2 linked regions of the Canis lupus familiaris genome follow. The protein of the gene in region 2 purifies or fractionates together with the protein of the main gene of each other region. This does not show direct contact. Links are inferred from orthologs where the notes say so. Each region holds a gene or a part of one and is shown on either strand. Other genes may lie near its edges.

What was found.
Region 1: the proteins of DCAF11 (region 2) and COPS6 purify together in Homo sapiens (affinity purification with mass spectrometry; 6 studies listed by BioGRID and IntAct, counting the BioPlex papers as one, with this or other methods). This does not show direct contact. The link is inferred for Canis lupus familiaris from reciprocal best matches to the Homo sapiens genes DCAF11 and COPS6.

Annotation. Positions count from the first base shown.
Region 1 is NC_049227.1:9,446,723-9,451,006, reverse strand, and holds COPS6 (COP9 signalosome complex subunit 6), read left to right. Parts: upstream 1-1,373; 5' UTR 1,374-1,398; coding exon 1,399-1,522; intron 1,523-1,743; coding exon 1,744-1,869; intron 1,870-2,062; coding exon 2,063-2,194; intron 2,195-2,521; coding exon 2,522-2,610; intron 2,611-2,699; coding exon 2,700-2,762; intron 2,763-3,068; coding exon 3,069-3,116; intron 3,117-3,193; coding exon 3,194-3,308; intron 3,309-3,401; coding exon 3,402-3,494; intron 3,495-3,586; coding exon 3,587-3,687; intron 3,688-3,793; coding exon 3,794-3,934; 3' UTR 3,935-4,052; downstream 4,053-4,284. UniProt on the Homo sapiens protein: Component of the COP9 signalosome complex (CSN), a complex involved in various cellular and developmental processes.
Region 2 is NC_049229.1:4,246,710-4,250,073, reverse strand, and holds the end of DCAF11 (DDB1- and CUL4-associated factor 11), read right to left. Parts: intron 3,285-3,364; coding exon 3,131-3,284; intron 2,741-3,130; exon of another isoform or gene 2,739-2,740; coding exon 2,586-2,738; intron 1,695-2,585; coding exon 1,588-1,694; intron 1,488-1,587; coding exon 1,353-1,487; 3' UTR 629-1,352; downstream 1-628. UniProt on the Homo sapiens protein: May function as a substrate receptor for CUL4-DDB1 E3 ubiquitin-protein ligase complex.

The sequences.
Region 1 (4,284 bases), on a different chromosome or scaffold from region 2:
TAGACTTGTTCTGAAAATTAAAGATTTTGCCCTGACCATTCCTTGGAATGACACTTCTCCCTGTCCTCCCTCTCCCCACCCCATACCCACCCCAGGCCATCCTGGTTGCAGGCAAAAGGGAGCCTAGCAAACTCCAACTTAATTTTATTTCGGCCACCAGGATTCTCTTCATGGACTGACATAATTCTGGATCATAAAGACAATGACCATTTGATTGAGGGTGCTGCTCTCCAGCTCCCCCACAGTGGGCTGCGTGTGCTATGGCGGGCTGAACAGTGGCCCCCAAATACAGCCAGGTCCCAATCCTTGGAACCTGTGAATGTTACTTTACAGGGAAAAAGAGATTTTGCAGATCTGATTGAAGTATGAATCTTCGGATGGGGAGATTATCGTGGATTTATGATTAAGGATCTTCAGATGGGGAGATTATCCTGGGTTATCCCAGTGGGCACTGTATATAATGCCAGGTGTCTTTATAAGAAAGAAGCAAGGAGGGGTTTTATCGCACAAGGCGATGTGACTACAGAAACAGAGGGACAAAGAAAAAGATTTGAAGATGCTGCTAAAACACTGGAACTGAAGGAAACTGGAACACATTTCCTGGTACCTGCTGGTTGCGGGCACTGGAGTGGGCTCTGCAGGCTCAAGGCACAGGTCTTCACCTGCTTTCTGAGAGCTTTCACTTTGGATGTGGCACAGGCATACACTGAAAGAACCAGCTAGACAAATGGGTAGGGGAGCAAGGGGGAGTAAACGCAGTGCACAGCGACGTGCTTGGGCGTAGGAGTGGGGAGGGGTCGGAGTGGGCTGGGTTTGTCCCAAGCGAGTTTTGAAAGGCTGCTGGAGATGGAGGATAGAGGGAGGCCGGGAAGGGCTGGAGTGCTGGGCACGTTCCTAGTATGTAGGTAATACGGTATTTGCAAGGAGGAAAGGACACGCCGGTGAACCATTCGCGACCAGGTTTCACCTCAGATTATCCACTCAGTGAAATACCTATTTAGGTCCTTGGCTGTCGGGTTGGACGCGGCAGAGGCCCGCACGTGGGCGTGGGGCATACGAAGGGAACTGCCAGGGGAGCCGGCGCGGCTGAAGCACGAGGACCGAGGGCCGGGTGGCAGGCAGGGTCCTGACCCTGCGGGGCCTTGCACGCCATGGCCCGGGCGCGGATCTTGTTCTGAGGGCAATAACGTGGTTCTTCATTAATTCTGCAACAGTCTTAGGAACTGGGCCGTTTTATCCCAGTTTTACTGACGAGGACGGTAAGGCTGGGAGCGCGCAGGGTGAAGTAATTTGTCCCAGATCTGTCACCGCCGCAAGCGCGTGGCGGACCCGGTCTTCCGAAGTCCACCCGCTCCGGGGCCGCCCGCCCCACCCGCCGAGGCCCCGCGCCCACTGAGCATGCGCCGCTGGCCTACGGAAGCCGACGGGGAGGGGGCGGGGCCGAGGCTGGCGGGCGCGGGGAAAATGGCGGCGGCGGCGAACGGGACTGGAGGGAGCAGCGGGATGGAGGTGGATGCGGCAGGTAACGGGCCTCGCGGAGGCGGCCTCTGGTGACGCCCCCCGGGGAGCGACAAGGCCCCCCTGGACTCCCGGGAGGAGTCAGCAGTCGGGACGGCGATCCCGCCCCCTGGACTAACTTGCGGGAGGGATGTATGGCTCCGGCTCTGCCGTCTCCCGCTCGCAGCTCCGGGGCAGAACGTGCGGCCCCGACGCTCACTCGTCCTCCTTTTCCTCCACCCTCAGTAGTCCCCAGCGTGATGGCCTCCGGCGTGACGGGGAGCGTCTCCGTCGCTCTTCATCCCCTCGTCATTCTCAACATTTCAGACCATTGGATTCGCATGCGCTCCCAGGAGGGGCGGCCTATGCAGGGTGCGTGCTGGGCGTCAATCTCCAACCTCCTCTCCTTGGTCACCTGCCCCAAGTAGGGGTCTTTGCCCCCGCCCTTCCTGAGGCCAGTCCCCCCTCCCCAGGTCACCGTGTCTCCAGCATTGCGTTCCCACTGACCTCGACCCAGGGACCGGATTCTTAACCCTCCTGTTTTCCGTGTCGCTCTCTCCCCCAGTGATTGGGGCGCTGATCGGGAAGCAGGAGGGCAGAAATATCGAGGTGATGAACTCCTTTGAGCTGCTGTCCCACACCGTGGAGGAGAAGATTATCATTGACAAGGAGTATTACTACACCAAGGAGGAGCAGTGTGAGAGGGGGATAGACTCGGGGGTGAGGAGTGGGAGTGAGAAACAAAGGCAGAGTGGGGAAGATGGAGAGTGATGGGGAAAAATAGGAGAATGGGACAAGAACTGTGTTTGTGTGAGGAGAGTATCACAAAGGATCTCAGAAAAGGAACAGTTTAGGTACCCACCCCCCAGACAGTAATAGATGAGAGAAGATAGAAGGGACTAATTATTGAGAACTGAGCCAGGAGTTGAGCGGGGAGGGGAGAAGCTGATGAAAAATATACCAGGAGTTTCCAATGAAGGGAGGGTGATTTAAAGAATGATACCCTGTGCTCTTTCCCCTGCAGTCAAACAGGTGTTCAAGGAGCTGGAGTTTTTGGGTTGGTATACCACCGGGGGGCCGCCTGACCCCTCTGACATCCACGTCCACAAGCAGGTACACATGCATGCTGGTGCATGCTGGGGCAGGGCTTGAGCAGGGGAGGAAAGATGGGCATTGACACCCACATCCCCATTCCCTTCCAGGTGTGCGAGATCATCGAGAGCCCTCTCTTTCTTAAGTTGAATCCTATGACCAAGCACACAGATGTGAGTAATACTGACCCCATGCCCACTTAGGCACGGTGCTGGACAAGCATGACAATCTTACCCTCCTCCCCTGCTGTGCTTTACATCTCTGTTGGGCTGAATCTTCACTTGAGGTGAATTCTCCGCTCAGCAGCTGTGTGACTTTAGGTTAATCATTTAATCTCAGAACTGCTTTTTGCCCTATGTATAAGGTGGGGGTTAGCCTTACTTCAGTGGGCCCTTGGGAAGATTGGGAAAATCTGCAGAAGAGCCAGTACGGTAGCCCAGGTGCACTTGATGTAAGAGCTGTCTCCCGTTGCTTTACAGCTTCCCGTCAGTGTTTTTGAGTCTGTCATCGATATAATCAATGGAGAGGTAATGCCCTGCCTTTCAACCCCGCGGTCCTGCTCCTTGGCCTTTCCTGCTCCTGACTCTGCTTTTGTGCCCTGTAGGCCACGATGCTGTTTGCGGAACTGACCTACACTCTGGCCACAGAGGAAGCTGAACGCATTGGCGTCGACCACGTGGCCCGAATGACAGCCACAGGCAGCGGCGAGAACTCCACAGGTAAGGAAGACTGGAGGTGTTTCCTCAGCAGTGGGGGGTGGAAAGCGTGGCCAGGTGCGTTTTCAACCTTGGCCTCTCCCTGTCTCCCCCCAGTGGCCGAACACCTGATAGCACAACACAGTGCCATTAAGATGCTGCACAGCCGGGTCAAGCTCATCTTGGAATATGTCAAGGCCTCTGAAGCGGGTAGGACAGGCGTCTCCCTGGCACGCCTACCACTTTTTCTCACTCCTGAGGGTGACCTCATCCACATTAATGCAGTCCTTCTGTGCCTTTAGGAGAGGTTCCCTTTAACCATGAGATCCTGCGGGAGGCCTATGCTCTGTGTCACTGCCTCCCTGTGCTCAGTACAGACAAGTTCAAGACAGACTTTTACGATGTGAGTCTAAAACCCAGGCTGGGGACGTGGGGTTTGTACATCATGTCTGCACGCAGGACCCGGGACTCAGACATTCCCTGGGCAACTGGTTTTCTGTTCCTTCCAGCAATGCAATGACGTGGGGCTCATGGCCTACCTTGGCACCATTACCAAAACCTGCAACACCATGAACCAGTTTGTGAACAAGTTCAACGTCCTCTATGACCGACAAGGCATCGGCAGGCGGATGCGGGGGCTCTTCTTCTGAGAGGGTACTTGAAGGGACGATGCACAGGTTGGACAGTGGTCCCACAGGGGAGGGGCATCACACTCCCTTTAGAGAAACCTCCTGTTGATAATAAAAGAGGAGCAGCCCCTCAGCACCCCTTGCAGTGGCTCTGTCCTCTCTGTTGGGCACCACACGGCTTTCTCAACTCGGATCTTGAAAGGAGGCCCTTGGTTCCAGCCTTGCTCGGCAGGACAGCCTGATTGGGAACTCTCTGCCACTTGAGGTGACCCCGTCCTGTCAGGTGGATGCATCTATACTGGGCCAAAGGCTGCCTGCTTCCACCCAGGCGAGCTCTGTTCTCTAATGTCTCCCAGTGCAGAGACCAACCA
Region 2 (3,364 bases):
ATCCCTTTCACCCCTTGTTGTATTTTTCAGAACCCCTGGAGGTGTGCACCCTGGTTTGGAAATTGCATTAGGGATAATGAAATGTCATGGGGACAGATGGATCAGAGCTGCATATGAATCCCAACCAAGTTCCCTACTGACCATACCATGGGCTTGCTCAGGGTCATGCTGCCTGACCTGTGCACACTGCCATTTGCACACTTTTACTAAAGGCTGGCTGTGAGGGTAGGTGAGGTCCCGAATGTGAAGCACCAGGTGAGGCCTGGCATCAAAACCCGTAGGTTCTCTCTGGCTCTGGGCTACTTCTTCTCATAGACCAGACTGGTACCAAGGCCAGCCCCAGAACAAAGCTGATGTGGGTGTTCCAGGCTCCAATCTAAGACGTGCTTACTTCTTGCTATCTTGATTTCTACTTGCTGGAAGTTTCTGAGTTCAGTGAGGAAGCTGTTGCAGAGTTCAGTTAACAAATGATTCTGGTATTTCTCTTCATCTTGGGGGCATCAAAGGGGTGTTTTTTTCCCCACAGAGAAACATATCTGAAGGCTCTGTTAAAACTACTTTCTTGAAGTCAGGGGATAAAAGGCCTCAGATAGGAAAAAGAAAGAGTGAGACAGAGACAGACACTGAGCCTGGTTCCCACAGAGAGAATTTATTGAGGGAGCCAAAGCCTTTATTGAGAGGACGAAGGAGTCCTCCTTCAACATCCCTCCTTGATACTGCTGGCTGCCAACATGATGGAACAGTCTGGGAAGGGAAGGCCTGCCCTGTGTGGGGCCACTGGGAGCCTCTCACACCACAGCCTGTCCCACCCTGAAGACCCAGACAGAGCAGGAGAAGACATAATTCCCACCCCAGCAGGGTGCTGAGGATGCCTTCCCCAAAAAGGCTAGAGCTCTAGCCTTCAGGATCTCTGGAAGAATGGCCAGGACGCCTGGCCTTCTGATTGGCCAGTCTAATCCTCAATATGAAGGACAGGGCAATAGGCCCGGCTGACAGCTCAGTTCAGACCTGACCTCAGGCATCTACTCTAGGAGCTAACACTTAACATCCAAACATGATTAAAAACACTCAGGACAGTTCTCCTGCTGACAAAGGGCACACCCCAGATAATGGCAGTCCTGCTGGACCCTGGCCAGAGATAGAGACCCTAGCCAACTGGGTGTGAGCATGTGAGGAGTCCACTCCGCCCCTTGGGGAGGATCTTCCAGGGCTCAGCTAGGGCCCCCAAACCTGGGCTTGTGTTTCCCCCATCCAATGCCAGTGAGTCCCCAAAGATCTCCCGGAAGGGAGAAAGGCAGGAAGAGGCAGAGAGCTTGTAAGAGGCTCTCCGTGTACGGGGCTGGAGATTAGAATTACTGGGGGGAGGAAAAGGCTGTAGAGGGGTGGGACACCGGGGCAGGGGCACTGGGGGGTTCCTCAGATTCTGGCATGTCGTCCTGGAAGTACTCAGCCTGGCGGTACTGCCACAGACGCAGGTTCCCGTCCCACTGCAGAGCAGAGGTGACAAGAGTCAGGAGATGCTGCCCCGCCTAGGTCCAAGTCCCAGACATGCACTGGTCCCTGCCCCCCAAACCCTTGTAACCTCACCGAACTGCTGACAATCTTTTCCTCAAACGGATGCCAACTGACGTCACGCACACAGGCCTTGTGGTTGGTCAGCTTCTTCACGATGCGGCCGCTGAGGAGGTCATACACTGTCCAGGGAAGGCCGGAGTGGAGAGGGGCTGCCAGAGTACCTTCCAAGCACCCCTCATAGTTCCTCATCTGCACTACTTACCTATCTCTTAGGCAACTTCCCTGCTTTCATAGGGGAGCAAAGCCCACACCAGAGGGTGCTCTAATTCCTCAGTTTCTTTTCCCTACCTTGGGCTGAGAGTATGGTCCAGCAGAGCTTGGGTATCTCTCCCTGGCCCCTAGCTAAATGTCACAGGGTCTACACTAAGAAAACGCAACATGGTTCTAAAGCTCTTTACAGCAATTTTCCAAGAAACCCAGAAGACACAGAAGGCATAACCAAAGTGAACAATGGGCCATCTGCAGACATCTGAATTTGCTCTTCCCCATCTGGATGGAGGTGCATCATTCTCTCTTTCCCAGTGGGTCTCTATCCGAGTGCCTCCCTAAGTATGGCACTATCCTAGGCTCCTTATAAGCGGTGGGTGTGTCTGTGTGCCTTTCTTTTTTTTTTTTTTTTTTTTTTTTTTTTTTTTCTCTGTGTGCCTTTCTGTACGCTCTTCTGGCTTTAGGGGCTGCACATCCTTTACTTGGAACTGCTGTCTTTTTGTCTCTGATCCCCCCTCCCCCACCTTTCATATGTAATCTCTTTAAAAAACAGAATTGCATATATTTCTGGCAATCTTTTATATTTACTGATTAGAATTCTATGTTCCCTTTCTTAATTTAGAATGCTGATGAATATAAGGTTCTCTATTTCTCTGTTTTAAGGCTGACCTGCTCCAGGCTAAATTACATTTCACTTGTAGTCACCACTGGGCTTTTTACGGTGGTCACTGGTGGTTACAGGTGAAATGCCAGAGAAACATTCTTGCCTTTCCCAAGGCCCCCTGTCCTGACACAATCCTTACCAACAACTTTGCCAGTAGAGCAGCCGCTGTAGATAAACTGCTGGCCCGTACTATGGATGGGGGAGAATCGGCAGCGGATGAGGGTGTGCAGCACCCCATGGCCCCGGTAGGTCATCAAGGAGCTGTCCCCTGGGAGCTTCAGTTTCCGCCAGGCTGGGTAGGGATGCACGGAGAGCCCGGAGATTAGGGAGTCTGGATCTTCCCTCACCCTTAGTCCTCGGCAACAATCGATACTCACAGATGACTGCCTTTTCAATCCCCAACTGATGGCTCTTTCCCCACCTAATATTCCCCCAGGTGGCTCTGCTGGTTGTGAAAACACTGAAATACTTTTGTATTAGTTGGTTCTGAGTGATCTCCAGCCTCTTGCCCCAACTCTCCGCACAGTTGGGCAAAGAATTAATGTGTGGCGAAGGGGATGGGGTTTCTCCAGGCCATAGTTAAATCCACTGTGCCCCTGTTAGGTCTTACCAGGGGCTAAGTATTGGAACTTCCACCCCTGACTCTCCACTCTCCAGGTGTCAGCTTCTACCTTCCACACTCACCTTTTTTGGGCACCTGCTGCCAGCGGTAGTCCCAGTTTTGCTGTGTGGCAGCCTGCCGTGAGGCCTCCATTCCTTCCCGACTAGAAAAGCGTCGGATATCCCAGAGCTTGATGGTCTGGTCTTTGGAGTTGGAGATGAGATAGCGGGCATCACCCTGGGAATCCCCAGATGGATAACAAGGCATCAGAGCTTGCGAATACTGGTGGTTGTGTCTGTCTAGCTCTTCTCCAGGTA